Linked DNA regions of Arabidopsis thaliana. The protein of the gene in region 1 interacts with the protein of each later gene in a pairwise test. Each region holds a gene or a part of one and is shown in the gene's direction. Other genes may lie near its edges.

Region 1 (10,800 bases):
ATTCAACTTAGCATACCTTAAGCTTGAATCTACACACAGTAATACATTAAAGGTTTTGGGTGTTGGGAGATTCTACAGTTCTGCAAAAGTGACTCTAGTAACTTGGGCCTTATCTACTGTCGTTGTCATTATGTGTCATCTCCTTTTACATATCTCACCAATTTCCCCCTATTTAAAACATCTGAAAAACGTCAAATAATTATTTATTTTGTCGGCAAAATGAAACATCGAATTATTCTCTTATTTGTTTTCCATTCTCATCATACGATCGACTATATGTGTGAAATTAGCCCTTTCTCAAATAATAATAATAATAATAATATGTATGAGATAATTTGGCTCAACTTATAAGATACAGTATATGATTGAGAATTAGAGACTAGTTAGATCAAAGGCTCATCTTAGACGAGCAAGTTTCATATTGGCAAGGTCTTCCAAATACCATCTATCAATTCTCAAAAAGAAATGTTATATGAAAACAATTCAAGCTTTATAGTTTATACCCATTGATCTCGGAGTTCAACAGATATATCTATTATCTTTAAAAGTGTTTTAAACTAATTTGGGGTTGTGATGAGGTTTATTAATGTTGGAATTAGATGGAGATGTGAAAGAAAGTTGAGAGAGTTTTGAGTATTATGGTGATAGATGTTGATATGCAAATGTAGACAAACAATGGTGTCCCACTTAAATTCGAGTGTCCTTAAGAATAAAATCACAAAGTCTCAACAAAACAACACAAACCCAACTGTAAGTCACATTCACAAACCCTAATCTAGACCCTCATGTTCCCTTTTGCTTTAATATTTTACTTATCAATCTAAAGAGACTACTACTACGTTACAAATTTACACTGATCATTATCCTTTGCACTAATCTTAAATAAGAAAAACCTTCTTCTAAATTCTATCCGGGCGAGTTCCAATAATACCGTGGATGACCGAACCATAATTTAAAATTTGGCATCATTACTTAAAGATCATTACGCTTAGTAATAGTATTTTTCTTTGTAGCTGAGGTTAGGATTTTTACATGTTAAATGTAAAATTTTGCGTTTAGCCATTAAAATAATTTGGGTTTAATAAGAAAAATACTCTACTTGTTTCATCAAATATTATTCGTAAATTGTAAAACCAAATACAAAACACAAAACAAAATGTTGCATAAGATTAAAAAAAAAATCAATTTGATGCTATTTTTCGGTTAAAAAATGAATACTTGTAACAACGACAAAAAGTAAGAGGTATTAAGAAAAAACATAATAGCAAAATAACTCGTTCTTTAGACCATCCTTATTGATGGGTTCTTAGATCAAATCTTCACATTTTTGATCTACCAAATAATAATTTAAAATTAGAGGGTTCTTAGTAAGATGAGAGAAAGTATAAAAAAAACTCTTAATTAAGAGCCAATTTTACTTTCTAAGAACTTTTTTTAATATTTTTATTCTTATTTTGTTTTATATAATTTTTTAAGAGATTTTATAAACTTTTTAAGAAACCATTGATAATGATGCTTTTACTGATCAAGTTTTCTGTAGTAACCAATAGAAACCACAAGTATACACAAAGGAATTTTTAGAGCCCCCTTTGAACACTAGAACCAATCAATAAAACAAAACCTCTTACTACATTGAACCAATCCAGCTAATGATCTGTTATTGGCTGTCTCGTAAGAACTTACCCTCTTTTGGTATGTAATTTTTTAATTTTAACTATTTCTTGTCGTTTGTGGTGTTTTTCTTATTGTACTTGTTTGTCCGATTCAATTAGCGTAAGAGTAAAAACCTATCCATTTCTTTGGTACCGTCCTTTATATTCTCTTTTCATCATTCTTCACCATTCAAGTTTCAACCTTTTGCTCACAAAAAATTTAAAAGTAATTTCATATTTTCATCTTTATCATTTTGTTGGACAAAAGAAAAAGTCGAATAGTATCCGATGTGAGATTTACATGTCACATAACCATTACCTCTTGGCAGTCCCATTCAATCGATAACTTGTAATTTGTTTTTTGTAAGCCTAGAAACCATAGACCTATGAAATAATTGAGTACTAGTTGCTCATATAATTTGTACAATACACAATACACAACAAAATAAATGGTCATATCCGCAAATATCAAAACAATATTTTCTTTAGTAAAATAACAAAGTAAAATGTCTCCTCGACTCCTCCAATTGCTTATAAATTGAGGTGATCCCTTATTTCATTATTTCAATAAATTCCACCAACGTCACTCTTTCTCTTCTCCCAAAAGCCTCAACCAAACATTTTCCCTCCCAAATCTCTAGAATAATAACTTCAAAAAATCACACTCTTATCTCCATAATTACACTAAACCTACTCTTCTCTCCTCATTTAACCACAAACCCACTTCTCAATTTCTCTAATTCTCTACCCAATTTTTTTTTTTATTCAAAGGGAAAAGAAACAGAGTAAGAAAATGAAAATGAGTGATTATTGGACAACAATGGCTTCTCTACTTGGCATGTTAGCCTTTTGTCAAACAATCGTCCAACTCGTGTTTCCGCCTGAACTCCGACTAGCTTTCCTCCACTTCTTGACACGTATCCGCCACGTGTTCTCTTCTCACATCTACTTCGACATAACGGAGATTGACGGCGTCAACACCAACGAGCTCTACAACGCCGTTCAGCTTTACCTCAGCTCTTCCGTCACCGTCAACGACGCAGTTTCTAGCAGCAACAACAACACACGTCTCAGCTTGACACGTGTTCCTAACTCAAGCTCCGTTACTTTCGGCCTCTCCAACAACGACAGAATCACCGACGTATTTAACGGCGTCACTATCCTCTGGGAACACGTCGTTGTACAACGTCAAGTACAGAGCTTTTCGTGGAGACCAATGCCGGAAGAGAAACGAGGGTTTACGTTACAGATCAACAAAAGAGACAAAGCCCTTGTCCTAGATTCTTACCTTGATTACATTGTCGGAAAATCAGAGGAGATTCGTCGGAGAAACGAGGAGAGACTGCTTTACACGAACTCAAGAGGTGTTTCGCTCGACGCGAGGAGCCATCCATGGGATTCTGTAAGATTCAAGCATCCAAGCACGTTCGATACTCTGGCTATGGATCCTGAGAAGAAGAAGCGAATCATGGAGGATCTAAGGGAGTTTGCGAACGGACAAGGGTTTTATCAGAAAACGGGAAGAGCTTGGAAACGAGGTTACTTGTTGTATGGACCACCTGGAACTGGCAAATCGAGTTTGATTGCTGCAATGGCGAATTACCTTGGTTACGATATTTACGATCTTGAACTCACTGAGGTTCAGAACAACTCTGAATTGAGGAAGCTGTTGATGAAGACTAGCTCTAAGTCTATCATTGTCATCGAAGACATTGATTGTTCTATCAGTTTGACGAAACGAGGAAAGAACAAAAAGAAGAATGGGAGCTATGAATATGATCCAGGTTTGACAAACGGGTCGGGTTTGGAGGAACCGGGAAGCTCGGTGACTCTGTCGGGGCTATTGAACTTCACAGATGGGCTTTGGTCTTGTTGTGGGAGTGAGAAGATATTTGTGTTCACGACAAATCATATAGAGAAGTTAGATTCTGCTCTGATGAGAAGTGGGAGGATGGATATGCATGTTCACATGGGTTTTTGTAAGTTTCCGGCTTTGAAGATTCTGTTGAAGAATTATCTGAGGCTTGAGGAAGAAGATATGGATAGTGTTGTTTTGAAGGAGATGGAAGAATGTGTGGAGGAAGCAGAGATTACTCCGGCTGATGTTAGTGAAGTGTTGATTAGGAATAGGAGTGATGCGGAGAAGGCGGTGAGGGAGATTGTGAGTGTGTTGAAGGAGAGAGTTGTGAAGAGAAGGAAGAGTGTTGGATTGAAGAAGAAGAAACAGGAAGGTCAAGAAGAAGAAGAAGAAGCAGAGGAAGAACAAGAGAAGAGAGCTTTGGATAGTCCTAATAGAAGAAACAGAGAGGTTTGTGGGTTTCGAGAGGAGGAAGAAGAAGAAGATGAGAAGGAGAAGTGAATGATAAGAGACTGTTTATCCTAGGATCATCATCTAATGGTGGTTCTTGTGTGTTTTTAATTATCCGTTTTGTTTAGTCAAAATTATTATAATATATGATTAGTTACCATATAATATAACGTTATCCATTTTGGTTTACTCTTAAGTCAAAAGTAGGCACTGTCCAAAGTTAACCTTCTGAGATTTGCTACATGAGAGTTGAGACTAAACTGGCTTTTGTATCTACTAATGCTGCAGAAATTGCCACTTTGTTGTTGTATATGTTGTCTCAAATTTTCGTGTCGGTTACGTTTGTTTTGAAGAGATAAAAGAGAATTGGCGTTTGGACTTTGGGTGTTGTAAATTGGTTAGTGTCACACCCTTTTTTATACAGGTTATATGTGAAACCTGTAAATTTCAAAATTTATAGTTCAAGAAAACAATTTACTCGAGAAGTGACATTTAAAGAATCATCACATCAAACACTTGACTTCAAACTAGAAGTGACCTGAAAAATCCATCCGTTCTTTTTTTTTTTCTAAATATAATATTGACCGCTGATTTTTGACATATTGTAGTAGTGAAGCCCAATCCTACCCAAAGAGATTTGCATCAGAAAAAAGTTGTTTTATATTATGGGCCCAATCTTTTTGATCAAAAAAAATATATATATATATTATGGGCCCAATCTCTAGAATCTACCACCGGTTAATGTCTAAATAAGAACAAAAACAGGTCTTGGTAACTAATTAAAACTGAAAACACCAAAATCAAGGTTGGGATTTGTTGAAGAAGGTGGTATTTCACCATATCACAACAACTAATTAATTAAATTTATTTAACAAAACATGTCTCTCCAAAACTGAAAACACCAAAACATGTTTTCATTTTATGAATTTCAATTTAACTAGTTAAAATTTTGATATCACATGCGCTACACATGCCACCTCAATTTGTCCTGCTCCTACTGTCTATTACTAAACTAAAAGTTAAAATTAGCGTTGAGTTTTTATTGAATTTATTTACTCATTAGCATTTGACTTGTATAGAGAGTATTAAAATAAAGAATAATAATAATAATATAATGCGGTTGGCGAACAATTGATGTTGCGGCAAACCGGTAGGCCCAACAACAACACGGACATTCTTGATGTTTTTCTTTGACAAGCGGTAATCTCCTGCAGCTAAGACCATCTTACTTTAAATTATTTCCCAATTACAATAAAACACGTGTGAAATATGGTCAATTTAGTTCAGAGAGGCCTCTTTATTAAAATCTTCCATTAACGTTTAAAGTGAAGAAAGCAAAGAAATATCGAAGAATTTAAGGAATAAAAAATAAAAACAGAAAGCTGGAGGAAGAAAAAATAAAAATTCCTTCTTTCCTCCTGAAGGCAAAAAAGGAAGAGAAGAGAAGAGAAGAGAAGGAAGCAGAATCTAATTTTGGATTATAATCGGAGAGAGAATCTATTCCGACGAATCTTTTCGGGTTGATTTTTTGGTCTTTAATTTGAAGGGTTTAGGTGTGGTTTCGAAGATGATGGTAGCGAATAGTTTCGATCTATGGCAAAAGGATGTTTTTTTCTCTGCAGCTGAGGAGGTTCAAGAATCTGCTGATATGTATGTGTTTTTTGATTCTCTGTTTGTTTAATTGACTCATGTTGCTTGTGATGGTGGAATTCGGAATTTCAATTGAAAAATAGGGTATTTCGATTGTTTAGGGGACTAATTGGCTCTAGAATGGTCTAAGTGAGAACCTTTGTGTTTTGTGAAGGAATTGAGTTATCAAATTTGAAATTTTGTTTCTTATTTGTGTTGTATTTCCAGAATGGAATCTGCGTATAGGTTGTGGTTTAAAGAGAAGAGAGACGGTCGAGTATCCGTAGAATCAGACGAGCTCTGCAAAGAACTCCAAGCTGCTTTGAGCACTGCTAAATGGCAGGTATGAAACAATCAATGGTCCTTTGATCATTCCCTTTTTTTTTCATGGTTACTCATGAGTGTGTTAGTGATATTGGTTATATTGTTGTGACTTGAATCAGTTGGAAGAGTTTGAGAGGGCAGTGAGCTTAAGCCATGGAAATTGTCGAGATGACACTACCTTAACTAGGCATAAACAGTTTGTTACCGCTATTGAAAACCAGATTTATCAAGTGGAATCTACTCTGCTAGAGTCGTTAAGCGAGAATGGGAAACAACCTTTGCGTTGGGTGGATCTTAACAAAGAAGAGCGTGATGATCTCGCCATGTTTCTATCTGGATCTTCTCAGACGTCAGAGAGTTTAAACAGTGATAGCATCAACTTGAGAGATTCCTCAACGAGTTCTGTAGCTGAGAATCCACGTGGGATCAATGGCAGAAGAGAGGGTAGATGTTATGGCGACAGTCCTGATTGTGTGATAGACATTGACGACATAGGAAGTCCGGAAAGTGCAGATAAAAAAGGCGGTACAAGAAGAACATGGAGTTCACCAAATGTACCAAATATCAGTGCGTTGAGGATTAATGTCCCTGTTAATGCAAAAGAAGAAGAGAGGGAGAAGTTCCTATCACATATTGAAGACACTCCTAAAGAGAAAGGAGCTAAACCTATGTTTTGGCTGCAGAGATGTCGTGATTATAACCAGGTAAGCTTCTGCAGTTTGGATCATCTCTACACTATTAGAAAGGATCATAAGTCTTAGTTGTTTATCATTTTGCAGCTCTTTGACAGAGTCAAGGTTTATCAAAGACGATTTCGCGTTCCATTGAGCCGCCCTATTAAGCTCATTCTTTCCTTAACGCTAATCTTGATTCTTCTATGTGAGTCCTTCTCTTGGTTCTCATGAGTTATGTCACACCACTGTTCCATGACAGTCTCTACTCTCTATAACTGAATCAAATTCCTTGTTTATACCCTTGCAGTATTCATCTTGAGAACTTAAAACCGCGGTTTCAGAAACTCTCAAGAAACATTGACAGGTAAATGATATTTTAGATTCTAAATCAGAACTCCAAGTTTTCTAAAACAATCTTTAAACATTACATCCTTTTCGTGTATCTTGCAGGTTTTTTCACAGATTCTTGCGTATTGGGTTACACACTCGTTAGATGCTACATGATTCAACATCCTTCGAGGGAAGGAGGAGAGATTAAAAGACTTTGTCAAGATTCAAATGAAGGACAAAGCCTGATTTATTACTCTCTCTTAATCCTCAGGGAACATATAGGAACCTGTAAATTTGTAAGATCAATTTGTAAAACTTGAAGCTACGACGTTTCGTTAAACTTTAGACGTGTACCTAAAGGAAACCAATGCGTGTTTGTGCTCAATGATATCTCCAGTGTTTGTTTGTCTCTCAGATATTTGTTTTGGAACAAAACATTCTTTGTCCTCTTTCACTTACTTGGCAAGTCATTTGTTCCAATCATTGTCTTACTTTCTTTTAAAATGCGCATTATAGTTGACGTCTCAATTTCTTTCATCACTAATAGTGTCACAGCCCAAAAGTACCAATTTAGGTCAATTCTAAGCTAAGTAAAAAATCTTAATATTAGGTCGTATCATATAGACATATGATAATGGTGAAAAAGATTTATGAAGAAAGAAAAATGTCTAATAATTTTCGAATCTAGAAGTCTCTGGACAAAAGAAAGGTGCATGTCACAGTCTCTCAAGATGGAATTTGATCATACCATTTATCAACCATGAACTTCGAAGCACAGATAAATGCTAAAAAATGATACAACTTCCTGTCTAAATCATTAAAAATCGACTAGTCCCATTGGGAAAAGTAAGGTAATAAATTTTTCTCATATCCTTCTCGTGCTTCTTTTGATCATCATTCATTCCTCACCTAACCAATTCAATTTCAAAAACAATTTTATTAAAATATATATTGAAATATTCTAAATGAGCTGAAATACAAAATAACGAAAAAATCAAAGAAAAAGAAAAAGGTGTGAATAAGATGTGTTATGGTCCAAACTATTATCGATTCACCAAATAAATTACAATTTCGACATTCTTTCACAAAATAAATTAACAATATCGATATTTCTTATACTAAATGACGATCCTATCCTTCTTAATCAACGGCAGAGCAAGTAACCGCGCACAATGTTCGTAGGAATAATATAGTAATTTATGGATGAGGAACCCAAAACGGCGCCGTAGCAGCCACGCTTGTGGGCTTCTTGCAACTTAAAGCGTTGAGAAACCTCCAAGAAGGTGACGGTGATGGCGACCGAGATCCACGAGCTCTCCTGTTAGCAGGAGATGGAAACATAACCGGTGGAATATTCCGGCGAATCTGACGGCTCTTTATATCCTTGAGTTCGATCTCCGGCGGAAACTTAACCATTCCAAACATGATCACATACCATCTTGGCCTTACACTTTTTACACTTCCCGAAGACGTTGTTTCAGGCTTCCCCGTGTTTTTAGTCGATGAACTATTTTCCGGTGGAGAATGTACGGTGGTTAGACCACGTGAAAGCTTACGATAATCTAAAGAGCGGCTTGCCCTCATAGGTCCCGCATTGTCACGACGTGCCACGGTACAACTACCGGGACGGTTAAGCTTATGGCCTTGTATCGCGGATAAGGACTCAGACCGTGAACGGATTCGACGGCTAATGTGCTCAGGAGGTGAAAAGAAAGCATTTTGGTAGTTTAAAGGGATGAGTTTCCCGCCAAAGATTATATTTTCTGCCGGAGCTACGTCGTAGGAGGATGAGGTTAGAAACTCAAAAAGTTCCGTTGACGGTTCTTTGTGGTCTTCGGTGGTGGTGGGATTAGGATTCTTGGCTTTGAGGGGAAGATCTCGGAGAGATAGTGCGTCTTCTTTTTCTTCTTCTAGGTGATGTTGAAATGGTTTTGGGAGTTTAGTAGGGTTTTGGAGATTAGTGTTTTTTGTAGTTTCCATGTTTTTTAGGGAGAGAGAGAGAGAAGACAATGAAGATATTGAAAGTATTAATTTTTGTCACCATATATATACATGGTCTCTAGAGGGGTCAAATACTTTTACAGAACTTAAAGTGGAAACTATTTTGTTTTACGGGTTAGAATTCTTTAGGTGTATTTATATACATGCATATATTTGTAGATTGTTGACCATCCGAAGTTTCCGTTTGCCAAATTTCTCATGATTTAATTATTTCAGGTCGATATATGACATATTATGTTGGTAATAACAATAATACAATTTTAATGACAAGAAAGATAGCAAATCTTACTTATTATTTATTATTTAACCACACAAAGTGTCTATTAATATTAACTAACTCTAGTTTTCATATATAGTTTTAACGACAAGAAAGATAAGACAAGTAACTCTAGTCTTCATATATAGCATTGATCATTTATTCATGAATCTTTCCGATTTTTCAGCTTAGAAAATTTAGTTATTCAAAAGCATGGTCAAGAATGATAGAGATAGAATTATTCAAACACAAATTAATAATGTTTGAAAATTTGAGATTTACATTTCTTCATGATGTAAAACTTTGATTGAAATGCCTATATTTTTTAAATTCTTTGTCAAAGACTATATGTTTATACATATGTACATAAATGTACCACGATCACACAAATTTGCATAGATTTGTACACCCAACCGGTAAAATAAAAAGACTGTGCAAAAAGCTAACTGATGGTATTGTATAAAATATAGATTCGACATGTCACCACTTCTATATAAATATATATAAGAATTAGCGAAACACAATCTAAAAATGTTTAGACAATTTTCTTTAGGTATATTTTCGAAGGAGCAAGTTTACACACAAACAAACTGTATGAAGCATATTGATTGTGAAAAAAGATAGTCGAGACTAATTCAGAAGAAGACTAAGACATTGTGACAAAAGTATAAAAAATAAGTGCTGAGGTATGAATTGTTGCGCGTAACTGAGGTCAGCTGAGAAAATGACTTTCGCCTGGCTGCTAACATTTCGTTTCGGACCTTTCGGTTATTACAAACATTAAAACGATGATTATAATTATATTCTAGACTATAGTTTTTGATATTTTCAACTATCCAATTATAGTTTAGGTATATTAAATCGAGGAAGTGGAAGTGTAGTGATTAAAGAAACTCAATTGTTAGAGAAAAAAAAACTAAAGGAATTAGAGCCACAATTACAAACTATCCACTTTGTTTTTTCGTTTTCAACGTACATCAACTTACGCTGCAAGGCACAAGTCATAAGTAGGTTATTCATATACATTGCTTGACTACAAAGTTTGATTTGTTTTCCCTTTTTATAACAATTTCATATGGTGCGATGTTACTATTTTGCCTTTAAACGCAAAAAAGTAAGATGATTCACATCTATAGCAGTTCACTTCAAATGTTTTTTTGTTCAAAAAATAAAAATCATGATGTAGATAACCTTTTCTATTAGCATGCTGATTTTATAAGCGTTTTCTTTATCATAGTAAACATATAATGACGTGAAAAAAAAAGTAAACATATAATGACTTGTAAAAAAAATAAAAATGAAAAGACCTCAAAAATGAAAAATACTTTGCACTAGATGATGGATGACCTCAACAGATGAGTGGTTCACGTTCACCTAATTCTTTGGTCATATATGTGATGCCAATCGTTTTAGTTTTGATGTAATAATTATAGAATTCTAATGGAATTATATATAATCTAAACTAATAATTGGATGGTCAAAGAGTAGAAAGCCGGCTAATTGTTTTAAAGGCAAGCTGACAAAATTTGATCATTGTGTAAAGATGAATGCAATATAATGGACTTTTGTTCTCGAGAAACCATTCTTCTTGCCGGTTTTATGTCATTAGGTTGGAATGCATGTCGT
Region 2 (10,992 bases), on another chromosome or scaffold:
CTTCCATATTGTTCTTTTGCTTACATGCTCGCCGAAACTAAATTCATACTTACCATTGAATAAGACATCGTGGACGGATATAGTGTTGTCTTTAGATGTGCAATTAACTTTGAGAATACTATTGGGAGCAAGTTCATTTCGAAATTCTAATGTGTTATCCTTGCAACCCCATGGTACTACTGTCCAACTTTCATTTAAACCAAAATATATGGAAATGACTATTAGAAAAACAATGAGATGGTTCATTTCTCGGATTCATAAGTTCTTTTGTAGTAATATGAATCTAAGACATCAAAGTGTAGTATATGGAGACATTATGAAGGCATTAGCTAAATTTAAACACAAACATGAACCAATAAACCTTTGGCTAGAGAAACATTTATCATCGAAAAACAAGGTGGACCAATAAGTTCAAAATAAAATAATTAACTTCTAATTCTCACCACTAAATTAAACAAACCAAAAAAGTCAAATATCTTACTAAATTCTTGGAAATGTTTTATTTTGATAATACTAGATGTCAGTTCTCGGTTTGATCGGTTTAAATAGGGACATAACTAAATGTTTAGTGTAAATTATGGTTTGGTTTGGTTCGGTTTGAGTTCAGTTAATTCGGTTCAGTTCAGTTTGGCTAGGTTTGGTTCAGTTTGGCTAGGTTCGGTCAAAATGCACATCCCTAATGAAAACATAGAGACGATAAGAGTCAAAAGTGGTAAAAACTGTGACATATCTAAACCGCTATGTCATAGTCTAGACAATTATTGCAGTCGCTCGTAGCACGGTTCTCAATTAAGATTTTAGCTTGTACAACAGGCTTGGTTATGATTTATGAAGTTACCTTGGTGGTCGACCATGTGGGTGTGTGCTGAGGTCAACCACAGATGAGGTTAGATGAGGGCGACCCAAAATCAATCTTTTAGGCCAACTTCTTCCTTTGCACAAGTTTGCCGCCAAATTGACATGTCTTTTATACTTAAGAGATTTGACATTCAATTATCAATGTTTCAAAAAAAAAAGATCATTCAATTTGGTACTTCAACAAATGTCAAATCTCTTAAGTACATGTCCAATGCGCTGTTTTGCTTCTTCTTTTTTTGCATTTTCCACGTTCTCGACATGTAAAGACGTAAGACACACGACAATACTAGAAGTGAAACTATATCTTTAGGTCATAAAACCGCATAAAACGATTAAATTATTATAAAAAATGTATGGCAATTATGTGAATTTCAAGCATAGAAGTTTTCTTCCTTTATTGTCTTTTCATGATTGAAACTCACAATCGTTATAGTATACGACACAACTCATTATTATTTTTAACAAGGGTTTAGAACAACATAAATTGGTTTTAAGATACTTAATTGTCATATTAACTAAGAATAATTTGTGTTCTATTTCCATTTAGTTATCATAAGTGAAGATCAGTGTTTGAAGGGCAGTGAGTGAAATTAAAGAAACTAAAAATAGCCATTTGTTTCTTAATGTCCACCTCATCCTTGATATATATCTCAATACGTTTTATAATTTGCTTGTGTGGTTGGGAGAGAGAGAAATGAGAACGTAAAAGAAGGAAAACACGAAAACAACACAAAAGGATTTGGTTGGTTTGCTTTTAAAATGCTAAATGACAGATACATACGGGTAAGAAGGCGTGACTCCCTCTCCTCCCCTCCCACTTTTTCATCATTGGCCATTTATAAATTTAATTCTCAATTCACTCCAAATCTCATCATCTCACGTTTCTTTATCGATGGAGGGTTCGTCTACAAGCCACAAACGCAAGAAAAATGACGAGCATACTAAGAAGAGCAAGAAAAGACAACATGTGAGAGCCAACAATGTAGAAAACAAGATGGAAGAGAAGAGAAGTGGGAGTAATGAAGAGAGTTTGGGAGTTTTTGAGTTCCCGTGGATGAAGGAGAGTATGATCTCAACCTCACTTGATTGGAGTCTACCGGAATCTATGTTTCCGGTCTTAGATGATGGTAATGAGATGTTTGAAGAGATTAGTGATGTGAGATGGCCAGTGAAAAGGGTTAGTAATTATAGGTTGGAGTTTGAGGCTTTTGAATGCATTTGGACTTCTATTTTGGATTAGATTGAAATATTTGTTAGCCATGTACTTCAAATTGCATTGAGAGTCTAGGACCAAACATTTTTCATTTTTGTTTTTGTGTTGATAATAATGTGTTTGTTGAGATGTAAAAGAGAGTAGAAGGAACGGAGTAGTGTTTGGTTATTTAGATACGACGGAAAAGTAAGGGATAGAGGAGCAACATTTCTTTCTGCAAAGAAAATAAAATGAATTTTGCATTAGTATACATGTCGACGTTAACATTTCCTTTACGATTCAACTTCGTCACTCGCCAAGCTTTGTGGCCTCCCTCCAGGACATGACAAAACTAAGCAAAAACGTTTCACTGATGGCATGCATGAAGATTCCATGTTTGATCATCGACACACAACCACTGTTTGGAATCATATATTTTCTGACCTCAACTTCAACACAAGACCCAGTATTAACAAAGTTCATGTAACTGTTTGATAAGAAAAATTGATGTTATCTTATCCATAACTGGAACAATGTGCTGTGAAAAGTTGAAAATCCTGAATGTTTTGACCAATTCAAGGCTAAAAACAAAGATTGTTAACAAAGTTTGGATAAAAGACTGAGCCAAAAATTAACTCAAGATAATTTAAAAGCTCATGCCAAAATTTTGGAAACAAATAAGTATAAATCAACGATATAACTTAACTAAATTTTGGAAGATTTCACATTTCACAAGTTTTTCTTTTCTTAACATGTTATTTTCTATATGAACATCTAATTTATAAATAAAACATATTGAAGGTTGTAATTTTAGATTTAGGATGATAAATTAGTTCACATAAATAAAAGAGAAATACATATTACGGGAAAAATATTATGTTTCGTAATATACAAATATTGAAAGAACAAAATCAAAATCAAAACTAAAATTTATTTAAATCTATTTCAAAAGGAATATGATCCTAAATTCTATTAAAGTTACGACCAAAAAAATATAATCTATTAAAGTTATTACTTTTTAACTTTTACCTACCATTTGACAAATTCGTTCTTATTTAGTTATAGAAAATAATAGTTAATCGTTAAATTATATTTTGGTGTCATAAAAATAATAATATATATTTTTGTTGTTGTGCAAAGCAGCAAAGGTGTCATAATAAAATCCAACTCACATTAAAACCAGCGGACAAGGAGTTAAATTCACCGTACTACACGGTCTGAGCTGATTGCGTGTTCTCTTAAAACTCCAGTTCACCGACGAACAACGAAGTATCGTGGAATCCATTTCATGGGCCGAAGATTTCTCACTTCTCTTCAGTGTATAACTTCTCTAGTTCTCTGTGTTCTTGTATATATGCACACCCCATGTTCGATGAAATTACGAAACCATGTAATCGTTATCAAATCCTCATCTATTTTCTTAAATGTTGCAGGAATCTGGGAAAGTAATCGTTTTTGGCTTAATTCTGATTTGGGTTCTTACTTATATAGTCAACATGCTTCTGGTTTCTCCTGCTTGTAGAGGTGTTTATCTTCAGACCATAGATCCAAAGCCAATTGATTTCTCAGCTAGAGCCTCTTATGCACTTTGCTTTCAGGTAACCATTTCATCTCCTGTAACTTTGATCTTGTTGATTCCTATCTTGAAGTTGTAAAGTTTGGATTTTTCTTCTTTTATGTAGATTCCTACTTCAATCCCTAAAAGAGAGTGTTTGATGAGGTTAGGAACGGTCTTTTGTTTTAATCAGAAGCATAGAGAGCAGACAAGTTTTAAGAAACGGTATGTATCTACGCAGAATGTGGATCTTCCTCCTATTTTACCAAAGAACAAGAAGAAACCTTATCCTATTCCTTTTAAGCAAATCCAAGAAGAGGCTAGGAAAGATAAGAAACTTGCTCAGATGGGTATAGAGAAACAGTTGGATCCTCCTAAAAATGGATTGCTAGTTCCCAATCTTGTTCCTGTGGCTGATCAAGTGATAGATAACTGGAAGTTGTTGATCAAGGGTTTAGCACAGCTTCTTCATGTTGTTCCCGTCTTTGCTTGTAGTGAATGTGGAGCGGTTCATGTGGCTAATGTTGGTCATAACATTAGGGATTGTAATGGTCCAACGAATTCACAGCGACGTGGTTCTCATTCTTGGGTTAAGGGTACCATTAACGATGTTCTTATTCCTGTTGAGTCGTACCACATGTATGACCCTTTCGGGCGGCGGATTAAGCATGAAACACGGTTTGAGTATGAAAGAATCCCAGCACTTGTTGAGCTATGTATTCAAGCTGGAGTTGAGATCCCTGAGTATCCTTGTCGCAGAAGGACACAGCCAATCAGAATGATGGGGAAGAGAGTGATCGATCGAGGTGGATATCATAAAGAGCCTGAAAAGCCTCAGACATCATCATCATTATCATCTCCATTAGCCGAGCTTGATACTCTTGGTGTTTTTGAAAGGTATCCACCTCCCACTCCAGAGGATATACCTAAGATAGCACAGGAAACAATGGATGCTTATGAGAAAGTGAGATTGGGGGTGACGAAATTAATGAGGAAATTCACAGTGAAAGCATGCGGATATTGTTCTGAAGTGCATGTAGGACCATGGGGACATAGTGTAAAGCTGTGCGGAGAGTTCAAGCACCAATGGAGAGATGGGAAGCACGGATGGCAAGATGCTCTTGTGGACGAAGTCTTTCCTCCAAACTATGTATGGCATGTGAGAGACCTTAAGGGAAATCCGCTTACCGGAAACCTCAGAAGGTTTTATGGTAAAGCCCCTGCTTTGGTTGAGATTTGTATGCACAGTGGAGCTCGGGTTCCTCAACGCTATAAGGCCATGATGAGGCTTGACATCATTGTTCCTGATTCACAGGAAGCCGACATGGTCGCATAAGTCCTTGGAAATGTTCAAAGTAGAACTCCTTTGTTAGGATAAAGAAGCTGAAAATAAAATGAGCTGGCTAGCTAGGATCTTTCCTCGTAGGAGACATTAGAAATCTTGTCATATAGTGTATTTTGCAATTTGGGTGTAAAATATTTTAGAAATCTTGTCATATAGAAATATTTTAGATATTTGTTTGATTCTCTATCATTGACAACTAACCCGGTCACTGGTAATTATAATGGAGACGACTTCAGTGGTATTTGTTTAAATTATTTCTTTGTCTTGAAAGATTCTAAAGATGTTTTGATCCAACGAGTTTTTGCTGAAAAACTGAATGATGGAAACGGATTTCTCGTTGGTGCGTAAGGAGGAGGAAGAAGAAGAAGATAACAGGAATGGGATGAGTTATTTGTCAATGGAGATGATGAAGAAGGTGAGCTCCATGGCGGCTCCAATGGTGGCAGTTTCGGTTTCTCAATTCCTCCTTCAAGTCATCTCCATGGTTATGGCTGGTCATTTGGACGAGCTCTCGCTCTCAGCTGTCGCAATTGCCACTTCCCTCACCAATGTCACTGGTTTCAGCCTCATCGTTGGGTTTGCAGGTGCGTTAGACACTCTTTGCGGTCAAGCTTTTGGAGCAGAACAATTTGGAAAAATTGGTGCATACACTTACAGCTCAATGCTCTGTCTTCTCGTTTTCTGTTTTTCAATCTCTATCGTATGGTTTTTCATGGACAAGCTCTTGGAGATTTTCCATCAAGATCCTCTCATCTCTCAATTAGCTTGCAGATACTCAATCTGGCTCATACCGGCTTTATTCGGATTCACTCTTCTTCAACCTATGACTCGGTATTTCCAGTCACAAGGAATAACTCTTCCTCTCTTCGTGAGCTCTCTTGGAGCTCTTTGTTTTCACATTCCTTTCTGTTGGCTTCTTGTCTATAAACTGAAATTTGGAATAGTTGGCGCCGCTTTGTCCATCGGTTTTTCATATTGGCTCAACGTATTTTTGCTTTGGATTTTCATGAGATACTCTGCTTTGCATCGTGAAATGAAGAATCTTGGTTTGCAAGAACTCATCTCGAGCATGAAGCAGTTCATCGCCCTCGCGATCCCCTCTGCAATGATGATATGGTAATTTACATATCTACATCCAAAAAAAACAAATCTCAGCAAGATTTAAAAGCTTCTTGGTCTGACTCTGATCTACAATGAATCCATAATTTTTTTTGTTCTTTGTTCTTTCTTTTTTTGTGTGTAAGTAAAGCCTGGAATGGTGGTCGTTTGAGATTCTACTACTAATGTCTGGACTCTTACCAAACTCAAAGCTCGAAACATCGGTGATATCCATTTGGTACATACATATCATTTTGTAAAATAATTCAAACAGTCAAAAAGCTTGTGATATTCCTAACTTCTATTCATGGAACAGCCTCACAACATCGGCTGTGCATTTCGTTCTGGTGAATGCGATAGGAGCATCCGCAAGGTTTTATAGATTTCAATTGTTCACAAGAATCTGATTTTTTCATGTAACATAGTATCTCTTAACCTATTTTATCCTGTTTAACACTATAGCACACATGTCTCAAACGAGCTAGGAGCTGGAAATCATAGGGCAGCTCGAGCCGCGGTTAATTCTGCCATTTTCCTTGGTGGTGTTGGTGCATTAATAACAACCATCACACTTTACAGTTACCGAAAAAGTTGGGGTTATGTATTCAGCAACGAGAGAGAAGTGGTTCGCTACGCAACCCAAATCACACCCATTCTCTGCCTATCCATTTTCGTTAACAGCTTTCTCGCCGTGCTCTCAGGTAAGACGATTATACTTTGTTTCTTGAACCCCAAGAAAGTAGGTTCAAATCAAGAATTCTTTCATATTTCAGGGGTTGCCAGAGGATCAGGGTGGCAACGTATAGGAGGTTATGCAAGCTTAGGATCATATTATCTTGTCGGAATCCCGTTAGGATGGTTCTTGTGTTTTGTCATGAAATTGAGAGGGAAAGGACTTTGGATTGGTATACTCATAGCCTCCACTATCCAACTCATTGTTTTTGCTCTTGTCACCTTCTTCACCAATTGGGAACAAGAGGTATATAAATTACTAATCATTTTACTTCTAGTTACGGTTACAGTTTTGAATCTGGTTTTGGTTTGTGTTTCAGGCAACGAAAGCTAGAGACAGAGTATTCGAGATGACACCTCAAGTCAAAGGCAACCAAAAAACACAAATTATAGTAGAAGAGGATACACAAGTTTTACTTAATCATATTGCAGAAACTGTGTAAAAGTGTAAAACCACTTAATGCAACTCTATTGGTCTCCTTCGTTTTAGCATCTAATTACTACTCTTGGATGCTTTACATTTGCATGATGTGTGATTTTAAAATTCTATGATCGATGCGTCTTGAGAATATAGATTCTTATTTCAAGTTTGTCAGGGCACACACTACCCATTTCACTTTAGAAGAATTTGGAATCCAATTTTATGCACATAAACTAACAGAGGTCACCTAAAACCATTTGCCTAAAGATAGATGCGAAGTTATGAATTCCTTAAATACAGAAAATTTGAAAGTTTGGATGTATTTGTTTCATTAAACACCATACGAAAACTATCATAAGTTGAAACGATACATAAAAGATCAACATGGTCACTCGTAAGAAATTAGACTTACAAATTGAGTAGTCTAATCTTTTTTTTTTTTTAGACTATCATATTTTTACTATTTTTATTAGAATTTGTTTTATTTCTCACGAATAACTCTTTCTCTATATAAATTCTAAAAGTATTAAATCTTCAACATCTATGCATGATATATGTGTTTGTAAACGTTAAATAAAAATGATAATGCAAACATAGTCGCTACACGCTAACACAAACACTAAAAATTTAAGACCAGTTTTATTATAGGTATGTAGCATGTACTTCAGGAGAAAAATACACTATTCTTAAGAAATAAATTGGGTAGTATAATAAGAATAAGAAGGTTTAGTGAGCTACATTTGAGAGCAATCCGTTTTCTTAAACGACACAGTTCCAGAAACAGTGTCGTATCCAACAAGGAAGTTCATTTGCGCCAAGTTTCCAAAAATGGTTAGTTGTTCATTTGCAGCAAATGCAAAGCAAGACACATCTTCAGACACTGCCACAAACGTATTCAAATTGCCGAGTTTCACATCACCTCCTTTGAAATGAACAGTTATGTCTGGAACTTTAAAACTAGAGCTGTCTCTATAACAAAGACTCAGAATACCATCGGGATCTTGCACTCGCTCTGCTTTGATTGTAGAAGCAACGACAGATTCAAGCTCATAGTAAAAATTGGATGGCAATAGAGTTAGAGTGGTACCGGAGTCGATAACAATGTTTCCTTCTCCGGTCCCAAAGATTGTGCTTGTGAATTGAATTTTCTTGCTTCCCACGCTAATGGCTTCTAGGTTTAGGAAATAGTATGTGGCGGGATCTTTCTTGACCATGGAGGTGGACACAACTCCATCGCCCGAGACAATGCCGTTTGTTCCAAAGTTGATCTTGCTCGTTAGGCCGGTTTCAGAGGTGAAAGGTACTAAACAATAGGAGAATTTACCGTTGATGGATTTCCTGAGTTGTGAGACCAACGATGTAGATCCTCCTCCGAGTCCGATGATCCCTGAGCCAGCCGGGTCAAAGGTTCCAGTGTTTTCGTGTCCGCAACCAATGATCATGTTTCTGAGTGACACAGGGCGGCGACCGCTAGATCCCATCGTCACGGTGTCAACGGCAACGTCACCTTTGGTGTATGAATTGTCACCGTATGTAATCGTATAAGAACAAGTGTTTTCATCTGTGGAACAAGAAGCATCTTCTAGGGCACGACATTGGCTTGAGGAGCAAGAAACCTTTCTATATGTGGAAGATTCTTTAGGATCAAAGAGTGGAGATGTCTGCTGGTAACAATCTTCGCAAGGATTGCATTGAGTCCAAATCAAGTCGCTGCCAGTATCCGCAATCGCTAGTATCGGGACCGGGGGCGTCCCGATGGATATGTTCATGAGATACTCACCGCGGTTGGAAGTGATAAAAGATTGTGGTGAGTTTGGTGAAGCATCATCATTGCTGAATTGGAGTGTACTGCGAGCGGAGCGGCGGATAGCATTTCTCATACGTTGTGAAGAGGTTTCGGCGGAATTGTAGAACGGTGATTTGGGAGAATCGCGGTGGATCAGATCAATGGTGAAGCCATCTTTCGGATAGGCGTTCACGTTTGAGAGTAACAAAAGGGACAAGAGAGTTGCAAAAATTAGAGAAGCCATTTTGAGAATCCTTTGAGAGACGTAACTATAGACTATAGCTATTTGAATAACCATATTGTTGACTACATGAATGAGTTGACTTATTTGTAATGTTTTATGATTTTTGGTAATTATTAAATGCAAAACGTAGTTATGGTAATAAATGCAACAAATTAAGGATTGTAATGTTCTTTGAATATTGAATATTTTATTTCAATAAGAGAATCTATGAATATAAAAAATTTAAGAATGGTCTTTGAATATTGAAGATCTTATTTCATTTAGAGAACCTATGAATATAAAAAGGACAACTTTTTGGGTTTAGGCTATAATACTTGAAAATGTATATATTATGAAAACCATTAAAAAGAAACTTTTAAATTGATGAAATATTATTAAAGGGAAAAAATGAAAAATGATGTTTTATTTTATGAAACAGAATCTTGGTGAAATGAATTTAACCAATATTAATACAAAACAATATACCACATGTTAAATTCTAAAATTAATAGTATTCAAAGAAAAAATATAATCGTAAATACTAGCAAAACACAATATTAAAAAAAAATACAACTTTTAGTTTTAACACTAAAATTAAAAACGATAAATATTTTTGGGTTTCTGTTAGTCCCTCTGTTCCAGCAAATTTGATGTTGTGAGATTCTTACACAAATTAAGAAAAACAACTATTACATTTTAATATTATTGTTTTGTTAGTTTAATAATATTAAAAAAAAATTTTGATTAACAATAAAAGTAATAATAATATTGATATTCAATTTTTGTGGAAAAAAAATAATTTAATATTATTGTTTTGTTAGTTTAATAATATTAATTTGTTTTTTATTAGCAATAAAAATAATAATAATATTGATATTCAATCTTTGTGGAAAAAAAGAAATAAAAATAAGGGTGAGTATTTTTTAACAGAAATATTGTTTGTAATGCGGGTCGGTCTCCAGTATTTACCAGAAACGGCGGTGTTTTCCATTGTCTACGCATCTACCAAAATCAAAATCCACCGAAGAACCCTAGAAATCGTTTTTTCTATACAAAACTCGAAAGTAGAGGTCGATTTATTTCTTCTCCGACAAATCACCATCTTGGTTTTATTGCCATAGTCTTTCAATTACCACAAGTATGTTACTGTGTTCAACTCCTCTCATCACTGTAATCGAACCTGAATGATATTTCAGAATTCAGAGTCTCAATCTCCCAACTTAGTTCCTTGAATTCGAAAAAGGGTAAACTTATTTTCTTTGTTACTTCCGTTTACTTGTAACAAACTGATTCTTCAGCTAAATACTGCAGTAAGTAATTGTGTCTAGGGTTCTTAGAGAAATCTTCTTGGTTCTATACATTATTTCTGCAAAATTGTCACCTTTATGTTTACCTCTTCATTGTTATGAGATTTATGTTCGTTTACATTCAGATTTTTGAAAATTGCAGCAGTTTCTGTTATCCATGATGCCAAACTGGTCTCAGCTCCCGGAAGAGCTACTCAACCTTATCTCCAAGAATCTAGACAACTGTTTTGATGTCGTTCATGCTCGATCTATTTGTCGTTCGTGGCGATCCGCATTTCCCTTTCCTTCTAGCTTATCAACCCTAAGTTACTCTCTTCCCACGTTTGCTAAGTTCCCATTAGTAAGCAAAGACTTGTGTACACTCAAGAAGATCCAAATCTTCCTCTTTAGAGCTCGAAACCCTGCTGCTGATATACCCGAGTATTTTCTTGGAGGAATAGACCAAGATCAGTCAAATGATCATATGGAACTTCCA
Region 3 (10,871 bases), on another chromosome or scaffold:
TATTTTCATAATAATAAGGAGACTTTTTACTTTTCGCCGTACATTATTAGTTAAAGGAGTTTTAATGAACCAAGGACAAACAGAGCGCCCTTATGTTGTCACTCGCCCATTTGCAAGCTAAGTTTCTAGCCAGTTGATTCATGGCTCCTGAAACGCATCTATATGTTACGAAAGCATCATAACGCAAGGGAACATTGTTTTAAGGATGTAGACATATATACGGTAGCTTCGGTTGCTCCATAGATGGATCCGACTCTCAGATGGACAACCCCATCAACAGAGGACGTAAGGACAATGCTCCCTGAACCTGAAGCTTTCAACAAAGGATTGGCGAGCTGTGAGAGATGGAAAGCTGACTCCAGATTTGTAGCCATCAGCAACGAGAAATCTTCTACTGCATATTTTGTGGTCGGTTTGGCTATACACTTTCCTGCATTGCTTACCTGTATATATACATCGAACCAAAAACATTATTAAACACAGAGACAAAGCGATATTAACCAAAAGCAGAGCTTAATGTGCTGTAAATACAAGGGCAGAAGAAGAGTGACCCGAGACACAGGTGGCGGTAATTCATTAAAGGTTCCTCGTTTATTCTATGCAGCTTCTCTCTTCCTCAACCATTGTTTGTTGGATATGAGTGCAGGTTCAAGACACAATGAAAGCCAAAACCGAGAAAGGATGACACAGAATACAAGCTAATGAATACTAACTCAAGAAACATAAAGTTTTTGTTTTCATAAAAGTCATAACATGAAAAGGTTCCTCAGCAATTTTCCCCCACATGCACAATCAAGATAATCAGTAAAAGACAAGGGAAACTGAATCACGCTGTCTGATGCTAAATTATCCTTTTCATTAACAGTAGACTTAGTAGCACAACTTCAATTCTCATCTCATATCGATGAACTGTCTTTCACGGGAGAAAGGAGACATGCTAAAGATAAAACAAAAAGGATCCCAAGGAAACTAGTAAAACAATAGAGTGGCCTAATCATGTCGTGGGAAGAAACCGTTTATTGACATTCCACCATCAACACAAAGAATCTGCCCTGTAATATATGATGATGCAGGTAGGCATAAAAAAGCCACTGCAGAAGACACCTCTCTCGGTTCGCCAAGTCGACCAAGAGGAGTTACTGAGTAGACTTCTTCTAGGTACTCTTTGTTGCTAAGGACCTGAGACCAAAAGACGAGAACCATTAAACAACCCCATCTTAAACAAGGAACACACAAATTAGCTTAGTCTTTCTCATTTTGATTTTCAGCCTCAAGAGCTTATATTTAACCGCATAATAGATAATAAGGCTTTTAAACCCATACTTGCTCCACCATAGATGTTTTGATATACCACGGGGCAACAGCATTGATCCTTATATTGTCTTTGGCCCACTCGCAAGCCAGACTTCTCGTAAGTTGATTAATTGCTCCTAAAACACAAAGGCCAACGAAAAGAACCAAAGTTTATCCATCGCCTGCTCGTTAAAGAATCTAATACATCTTGGTAAAACCTGAATAAATGAATGAATGCTGCATAAGAACAAATACCTACCTTTGGTTGAAGATTGGACCGACATATTCTTGAGGGAAACAAAACCAGAAACAGAAGAGATGAACACAACACTTCCAGCTTTAGATTCTCTAAGCAATGGATAAGCAAGTTGACATAAATGGAAAACCGATTCGAAATTCGTAGACATCAGAGTCGAAAATTCTCCAGCAGTAAACTCTACCATTGGTTTCCTAATGTTCGTCCCAACATTGTTTACCTAAAAGCATCATAATTACACAAGAAAGTAAAGTTATTTATTTACAATTGTTCTCACAGACAAATTAACAAACACTTTATGTGCATTATCTCTAAGCAATGGCATTAAACCTTACAAGGATATGAAGCTTCCCTTCAAACACAGATGACACGGTCTCCATCAAAGCCTCTCTCTGAGATCGATCAGAGACATCGCAAACGGATCCAGCAACTCGAAAACCAGAACGGTTCCAATCACTCAAACAATTCTCCAGCTCGTACTCATTCCGAGCGCAAGTGTGAACTTCTGCTCCAAGACCAGCCAATTCCTCCACAATCGCACGCCTGAGAATTTAAACAGTAACACACACTACTCTGAGAATTTGCGTTTGATAAAGGTTCACACTTGTTGTGAAGAGAGACAAACCCAATTCCACGAGTGCCGCCGGTGACAAGAGCAGACATTCCATTGAGAGACCATCTTTCCTTGGAGGTAATGGCAATGGAACTCTGTGATGCGTAAGGGACGAAGACGGAAGAGGAAGAGGATTTGTGTTTAGGGTTTATGCGTTTGAAAGAGAGGCATAAATGAGGTTTAAGGGAAGAAGAAGAAGAAATAAAGTGAAGGTTTTGAGGTGGATTTGTGTACAAGTGAGAAGCCATGTCAAGCACCATTTATGCAGAGCAGAGTTTATGTTTCAGCTTTTCAAATGAGTCAGAGTCACCTTTATGCGAAGCATGGTTCTGATTGGTTTAGTGACGATGACGACGTCATCATTGCGGCAAATTTTAAATTACTGTATATATATCTTATAAACTTTATAAAATATCCATAAATTATTAGACACATTTATAAACTGTAACAAAAAAAAAATCATAATCAATTTCTTTATTTAAAAAATAAAATAAAGCATTTCAATATTTTAGTAGGGAAGATATTAGTTAATATCATTAGAAAAAATAGAAAAAAAAAGGAGAAAATGCAACAAGAAGAAGAGAAAAAAAAAAAACTCTAATTCATTAATTTTTGCGGATTAACTGGATCGTTGCAGTTTTTTGCTTTATTTCGATAAATGAACAACAAAAACAAAAGTCCATAAAAAACTTAGTAGATGCATAAACTAACCATAGAGAAGTCGATAAATGTGATGCTCTATTAATACATGCGAGTACGGAGTATCTATTGAAGAGGTACAATACTACAATTAAATCACAAAGTTTACCTTAGACCAAAAAGAAAAAAACATATAGATTAGTAATATATAGATTGTTAATATAATATTGTATGTTGGTGACAAAATAAATTGCCTAAGTTTTGGTTAGAAAATAGAAATACTTTAACCAATATAAGCAGATTACCTAAGATCATTTTTGTAAAATGGAAACTAATTATTTTATGTTTTGAGAATTCTTCGTTCGTAAACAATCTTTGTACTCTTCTCAGAAAGTTGATATATTTTTAAAAATTCTTTGACTCTAATCTAATGATGTTAATTTGTACATTGTATTGTTGTGATTTCTTCGTTTATAGAATATATGGAACTCTATCTGACTACATCTACATATACAATTTTGCATGAAAACTTCTCTAGATTTTGTAATTATTTATTTTTGTACAAGTTTTCAGTGAGAACAAGACTAAGATTTGAATGGTCAAGTATTCTTCTTCTTCGTTTACAAATTGAATTTCTTAGTTTGACAACGTATGTCTTTATAATAATAATAAAAAAAAGTTAGGATATTTTTTTATTATAAATATTCATATTTAAAGTTAACACTTTAATTTCAAGGAATGTTCAATTGTTCATCCATTTTTTATTTTTATATTGGATATATAGTGGCTAAAAGCCTAACATAGCAACGCCTTTTATGCGACATATAGTTGATAATTATTGCAAGTTTCCTCCACAATTTCTTCCTAATACAAATAATTGCACAATTACAAGACTCAAGAGAAACCTTTCTATTTGTTTGTATCACATAGTCATAGTGGATAAACGTCGATCGTTAGGCAGTCAAAATTATATGTGTAACAAAAAAAAAGGTGATTCACCCTAAAGGCTAGCTAAAAGATGACGTTTTTTTTGTTCAATAATTTTTGATCCATTATGACTTTGTAATCACATTTAAATTATACAGAAAATATGTAACCATTTTCTTGTTTATTTTGCAATCAATTTTATTAGGAAGAAATTGTGGAGGAAAGTTCGAAAGAATTTTTCAAGGATACTAATATAAAGGTTTGCAAAAAAAAAAAGGGTTTGTTTAGCAGTTTATATAGAAAGTCAAATCTTCAACTAAGTTTGTTTAACTTGTCAGCATAAACAAAAAATTTGAATATGAATGTGTCTTGAGCTCTTTGAAGCTATAAAAAGATAGCATTGAACATAGCTAACATCAAAATCTGAAAACTATCAATGGCTAATACCTATAAATCGATAGCTGTATCAATAATCTTCCTACTATACTTTTCTTGTGTCTCAAGTCAACAACAAACCAAATTTCTTAACCATGGCTTTCTGGAAGCTAATCTCCTCAAGTCTGGCTCGTCCAAGATCCACCCGAGTGGCCACTTGGAGTTGACAAACACTTCGATGAGGCAAATAGGTCAAGCTTTTCATGGCTTTCCCATACCATTCTTAAACCCCAACTCCTCAAATTTGGTATCTTTCCCCACAAGCTTCGTCTTTGCCATCACTCCAGGACCTGGCGCACCAGGCCACGGCTTAGCTTTTGTCATTTCACCCTCGCTGGACTTTAGCGGGGCCTTACCAAGCAATTATCTAGGCCTATTCAATACCTCCAACAATGGAAACTCCTTGAATTGCATTCTTGCAGTTGAATTCGACACTGTGCAGGCCGTTGAGTTGAACGATATTGATGATAACCATGTTGGTATAGACCTCAACGGAGTGATCTCCATTGAGTCTACCTCCGCTGAATATTTTGATGACCGAGAGGCAAAGAACATAAGTTTGAGGCTGGCGAGTGGGAAACCAATAAGAGTCTGGATCGAATACAACGCAACTGAGACGATGCTCAATGTCACATTGGCTCCTCTAGATCGTCCGAAGCCAAAGTTGCCTCTTCTCTCTAGAAAACTAAATCTTTCTGGGATCATCTCTGAAGAAAATTATGTTGGATTCTCTGCAGCCACGGGAACTGTCACGAGCTCACATTTTGTGCTAGGCTGGAGCTTCAGCATCGAGGGGAAAGCATCAGACTTTGATATCACGAAGCTTCCCTCTCTTCCAGACCCGCTACCTCCATTGTCTCCATCCCCGAGTCCTCCGGTTTCAGTCATGAAAAATTCGAGTAACACGATGCTGATCATAATCATTGCTGCATCAGCAATATTTGGAATCTTGATCTTAAGCTTCTTAGCGGTTTGCTTTTTTCGTAGAACGGAAAACTTCACCGGAGGCGCACGGAAATTCTCCCACCAGACGATTTCCAGCGCGACGGGAGGTTTTGACAACTCTAAGCTTTTGGGAGAGGGAAACTCTGGGAGTTTTTATAAAGGGCAACTTGCTCCTACAGAGATAATTGCCGTAAAGAGAATTACTTGCAACACAAGGCAAGAAAAGACAGCCCTAATAGCCGAGATCGATGCAATCTCCAAGGTAAAACAAAGAAATCTTGTTGATCTACATGGTTACTGCAGCAAAGGAAACGAGATCTATCTTGTTTACGAGTATGTTATCAATAGAAGCCTAGACCGGTTCTTGTTCAGCAACGACCTACCAGTTCTCAAATGGGTACACCGGTTTTGTATTATAAAGGGTATTGCGTCAGCACTTCAACATCTTCACGCTGAGGTTCAAAAACCTCTCATACACGGAAATGTCAAAGCAAGTAACGTTCTTTTGGACGGAGAGCTAAACGCTCGACTAGGAGACTATGGACATGGAAGCAGACACAGCACTACGGGACACGTTGCACCAGAACTAGTCAACACGGGAAAGGCTACATGTGCCACAGATGTGTTTGAATTTGGAGTGTTAATCATGGAGATTGTTTGTGGAAGGAGAGCCATAGAGCCGACAAAGGAACCGGTAGAGATCAGTTTAGTGAACTGGGTGCTTCGAGGGGTCAAGAGCGGAAATCTCTTAAGGAGATGCGACAAAAGAATCAAGAAAAAGAATTTAGTCTCTGAAGAAGTGTTATTGGTTCTGAAAACAGGACTTCTCTGCGTGAGACGATCTCCAGAAGATAGGCCAATGATGAAGAAAGTGTTGGAGTATCTCAACGGTACAGAACATCTCCCTCATGATGACTACGTCGTCTAAAAGAGGAAATGGCTAACGATGATCTCGAAACGCCGTTGTACAAATCAAGATTGGACCCAAGATGCATAAGCATGATATGAATAATACATAGAATAACTTTTAAAAATGGAAATAAGAATTTCTCGTTTTGAGAAATTAATTTCATTAAATATTATCTTCGATTAAACAATCTTCGTACTCTTCCGAGAAAATGAATATTTTAAAATATTTGTGTTTGATTTTAAATTCTAAATGATGTTTGTTCGTCGTTTTAGGATAACTAGTATGTATTGTTAAAGAAAAGATAAGCAAATAAATAGTATTGTTGGCAGACTTTTCTAGCCCTTTCATTGTAATTTCAATTATCTTTGTTCACCAGTAGATTTTTATAGTAGCAACAAAATCTAGATTTCTATGGAATTTGGGTTCAGTATAGATTTTTTTTTTTTTTTGTTAAAGGGATTAGTTTAGATTTTGGATTGGATTCACCTGGTTAATTTAAAAGAAGGGTATATGCACTAGATGACCATGAAATCAATAATAATATAGAAACTAACTATGAGTCTATAGTGTCTGTCGGAGACGTATCTGAAATTACCCGCAACCCCCTATAACTGTGTTCTTGGTTAGGGGACATATAGGTGTATAGGCGTATGATTGCAGAAATTTGAATTTTGAAAACCTTGGTAAGAGCAATGCTGTATGTGGACGCAAACGATATAGATTTTAATTTCGAGAAATCGATTTATTATCGAATTTTTTGAAATATCAGGAGCTCCAAAAAAAAACCTAGCGCCGCTTCATTTGCTGGTTTTCCGAGAGGAAACGTCTTCCGTTCTCTACCCATAGATTCTGCAAACTCTCCGAATATCTATTTCAAATCTATATTGTTTCTCATACATATCGTTTCTTTAGATTCAATCTCGCAGTTAGGCAATCAATTCCATCGGGCTACAGGTAATTTCACAAATATATGCGGTTTAAGCTATTCAACGTTCTCGATCGCCATCAACTTCTTTATTTCTCCAATCTATATTCCGATTAACTGAAATCTTAGGTACATACTGTTTCTGATTTATAAACTTCTATTTTGTGCAGAAAAGGGTTCGACTTGTAGATGATGAACAACTCTTTACCCCGTCGATTGTTTAGGTCTGGATCCGAGCCCAACGGTGAGAGAGTGCAGTCCTACAGTGAACTGTCTTTGATAGATGACATCGCTAACGCGTTAGATGCGGAGGACATGAAAATTCTCCGGGAATCTCAGTTTGGGAAATTATTTGATTTCTCCGAAAGCGCCGCGTATTCTGGGAAGCTTATTCACTTTTTGCTAACGAGGCAGCTTGTTGTTAGGAAGAAACAAGAAATTTGGGTAATTTTCTCTGGATCCCCTGTTCGGTTTTCCATTTCTGAGTTTCAAAATGTTACCGGTTTGAACTGCGACAAACCGCCTCGTATGAAAGAGAGGAAAGGGAAACGAAAATTGGCGCCTGGCAAGTATTGGTACAGCCTATTTGACCGCAGTGATGTATCTGTTGAGTGGGTTGTTGGCAGGCTGAAGAAGCGAGTGGTTCAAGATCAAGGAATTCGTTTACGTTACGCTGTGCTGGCCTTGATTGATGGCGTTTTATGCCCAACCTCGGGTAGAAGTAAAATCTCTCCGGTCCATGCGGACATGGCAGAAAATTTAGACATGTTTCTAAATTTTCCTTGGGGGACTATGTCATTCCTAATGACGTTGAAGAGTGTTACTGCAAGGGGAGCTGATAAACTTATGCGGAAATCTATCACCGTTCAAGGTTTCCCACACGCACTCCAACTTTTGCTACTGCAAAGTGTTCCTCGAATCAGAGAATTGCAATTCCCTGAAGCCGTTGAAGATAGTGACTCAGAAATGGAGGAAACAGATACGGAAATTGAGCGCTTATGGAGTTTGAAGTTGGATCTTGTTTGGAAAGTCGACCGGCAGTCTCAGGTGAGCAATGCATCTCTGCTCTCGTAAATTAATTTTCATATGCTCGTTTTTATCATGAAAACCTCTTCTTTTCCTATCAAAAACATACAATTATAGATTCATATCATTCTGTGTAAACGTGTAGCATGTGGCTTAGGTTTTTAATATGTGTTGATTTACTATTTGTTATTTATATCATGATTTCTGTATAAATTGTATGGTTTTAAATCTGATCACAGTTTCTTTAGAATAATCATAACATGGCTGTAAATGTGTAGCATGTGGTTAAGTTTTTTTTTAATATGTGCTGATTTACTATTTATTATTTATATCATGATTTATGCAAAAACTGCATGGTTTTAAATATGATCACAGTTCTTTTTAATAACCATACCCTGTTACCTTAGTAAGTCACGTATGGCGGTATGCATTACAACATCTGGTTATATGATGAAATAACATGTTGTTTTTAAGGAGCACATGGGTACATAATCTATATTTCACTGTTAGTAACAGTATAAATACTTTTAGTACATGTAATAAAACATAATATCATGTGGCTAAAGTCTAACTCTTTGTTTTTCAGATTAAAGTCGTTTCTATTTGGAGTGGAACACCGACTGGTGACGCTTTCAAGTCAGGTTGGGTCGAGGACGAAGAAGATCTATCTGTTGACTACATGTTGCAACTAATAAAAGAGGAGCACATATTCAAGGGGTCCATGTTTTCAGGTGGTGTTGTCCCTGATTCGCTACCCGATGAAAGGAATGACAACAGTGATGTATGTAGCACTTATGATTGTGTTGATGAGGATACCATACAACCTGATGCTTCCTTGCCTGGCTCTTCTAAACCCCGTAAAACTAAAGGGCAGGTTCACATACCAGATTCGATTAAAAATTACATTGACATGAAAGACAAGCGTATGGAGTCGCGTATGTTGAAGGCTATAGCTGATTCAGAGGCTAGATTGAGCAGCTTGTTGAGGGAAAGCCATGGCAGGAAGAATAAGCGTCACAGTGGTCCTAAGTCAAGAGATGTGGGTGAGGGATTAGGTGGGAAGAAGGGATCCTCCCTTGTTGTTTTGGATAATGGCAGGGTAGCCCAGTCGAAGGAGAACAGTGGTTCTGGATTTATTGATCAAGTCTTAGGTGAAGTGATGCATGATATTAACGACGCAGAACCTACACAGACTACAACCCCCATAGGTCGCTTATCCCCACCGACTAGGCCTGGATTGCGTAGTTCTCTGGTATACGTTTAACAGTTTTGTAAATATTCTGTATTTTATGAGAGTTCTTCCTAATTCAAGTATTGTTTTCATAACAAACAGAAACGGAAGAGAGGCAACAATGGCCCAACAGCAGCCACCATCCTGACGCCAGCAGTAGACAACAGTTCAGCTGAAAAGTCTGTTTCTGCTGATAAACATGTATCCCCTGAAGCTGTCAATATCAACAAAGTTGGAGGGGTGGTGACTGATACCACTGAGGATGAGTCAGCTAGAGATGGGATTCATGACATTGGCTCTTCCACTCTGCCGGCTAAAGAATTAGACGATATGTTTGCGGAAAAGTCTGTTTCTGGTGATAAAACTGTATCCCATCAAGATAATATCTTGGTTGATGCCCCCGGTGATGGGATAGGTTGAGAGGGCCTTGATGATATCCAAACTAGCCCTGATAAACCTATTCCAGCTGCAGCGAGTCATACTCAGTGTTTGCTTCCTCCTCCCACAGACGTCAATGAGTTCTTTGAATCTGAGCCCAGCCTCCCTGATCCATATGTGGTGCTTGTTGACATGGATGGTGTTGCATACAATGTAGGTCAGCCAGAGTTGCAGTACACCATCCCATGCATAGTGAGTTCAAACCTTCTCATATAGTTTTTATGTTTTTTTTTTTCCGTGTATTGGCTCTAACGTCTGTTGTTTGCCTTGCAGATAGAGTCTGATTTGACTGCCCAATGTAAGTCAACCCCCGGGCCAATGGTTGATGACGGTGCTTCAGATAAAGATGGAGAAGGACTTGCTGACCCACCTGCTACAGCCGATAATGTTAGATCATATAATTCATTATTTTTTACTCTCGTTACCACTAACAAACTAATTACATGCAACTGTTTCTTATTTTAGGCCAATTTAAGCCAAATGCCGATGATATCTGAACCGTCCCTGCCAGCCCCAACAAATGATATTGTGGACCCTGATGGCAAGGTTGCATAAATGCGTTTAGCTAGTGTTAAATATGGATTTCATAGTTTTGTGTTAGGTCTAGTTTGGGTGCATGAATGGTTAAGATATTGTTAAATATGGATTTCGTAGTTTTGTGGTAGGTCAAGTTTACTTATTCATGGTTTTTAAAAACAAAACACTGGTTTAATATGCACACGGTTATATTTTGCGATACATCATGTATTTTCAGCATGGTTCAGGGTTTTACCTAATATAACAAAAAAATATTTAAAAAGTTTTGTCATATTGTAAGTGTTTTGCCCGTACAAACATCAAGGTTTTAGAACAAATTACATGCCATTAAGTTTAACACAGAATGTTTAGGATTATGCAAACTCTAATTTCCTGATTATTAAGATAACATCTGATTTTCTAATCACGTTTACGTTGCTCACAGCTCCAACATGAATCCGTAATAGCCTCTTCCACAAGCGGTAGGTCTGTTACTTTTGGGCATGATGTTAGCCGTAAGAACAAGATAAATCGCTTATATGGCATGTCTGGGTATTAATTCCAACCTTATGCTATTTTATTTTGTTTGACTCATATTACTTAAAACTTATGCATATGGCTGTTATTAGGGACATTGATTTTGGGGCTTGTCGAACACTTTCCGCCATTGAGTTGCGTGAGATTGTTGAGTTCAAGACCGTTGTACCCAAAATGGTA

Evidence for each region.
Region 2: the proteins of AT4G30240 (region 1) and AT1G64820 interact in a protein complementation assay, tested with the Arabidopsis thaliana proteins (one large-scale study listed by BioGRID).
Region 3: the proteins of AT4G30240 (region 1) and AT2G29250 interact in a protein complementation assay, tested with the Arabidopsis thaliana proteins (one large-scale study listed by BioGRID).

What each region holds. Positions count from the first base shown.
Region 1 is NC_003075.7:14,804,473-14,815,272, reverse strand, and holds AT4G30240 (Syntaxin/t-SNARE family protein), read left to right. Parts: upstream 1-5,197; 5' UTR 5,198-5,527; coding exon 5,528-5,610; intron 5,611-5,817; coding exon 5,818-5,932; intron 5,933-6,032; coding exon 6,033-6,617; intron 6,618-6,692; coding exon 6,693-6,792; intron 6,793-6,894; coding exon 6,895-6,914; 3' UTR 6,915-6,951; intron 6,952-7,037; 3' UTR 7,038-7,384; downstream 7,385-10,800. Other genes in the region: AT4G30250 (P-loop containing nucleoside triphosphate hydrolases superfamily protein), read left to right, coding at 2,446-4,011; AT4G30230 (uncharacterized protein), read right to left, coding at 8,115-8,897.
Region 2 is NC_003070.9:24,083,336-24,094,327, forward strand, and holds AT1G64820 (MATE efflux family protein), read left to right. Parts: upstream 1-5,269; coding exon 5,270-6,066; intron 6,067-6,199; coding exon 6,200-6,286; intron 6,287-6,364; coding exon 6,365-6,421; intron 6,422-6,510; coding exon 6,511-6,749; intron 6,750-6,821; coding exon 6,822-7,027; intron 7,028-7,100; coding exon 7,101-7,223; downstream 7,224-10,992. Other genes in the region: ILA (ILITYHIA), read right to left, coding at 50-68; AT1G64800 (DNA binding / transcription factor), read left to right, coding at 1,751-2,098; APO1 (APO RNA-binding protein (DUF794)), read left to right, coding at 3,475-3,648, 3,733-4,941; AT1G64830 (Eukaryotic aspartyl protease family protein), read right to left, coding at 7,936-9,231; AT1G64840 (LOW protein: F-box/kelch-repeat protein (DUF295)), read left to right, coding at 10,675-10,992.
Region 3 is NC_003071.7:12,574,074-12,584,944, reverse strand, and holds AT2G29250 (Concanavalin A-like lectin protein kinase family protein), read left to right. Parts: upstream 1-4,164; coding exon 4,165-6,036; downstream 6,037-10,871. Other genes in the region: AT2G29263 (uncharacterized protein), read left to right, coding at 517-702; AT2G29260 (NAD(P)-binding Rossmann-fold superfamily protein), read right to left, coding at 991-1,179, 1,324-1,430, 1,553-1,769, 1,885-2,092, 2,175-2,422.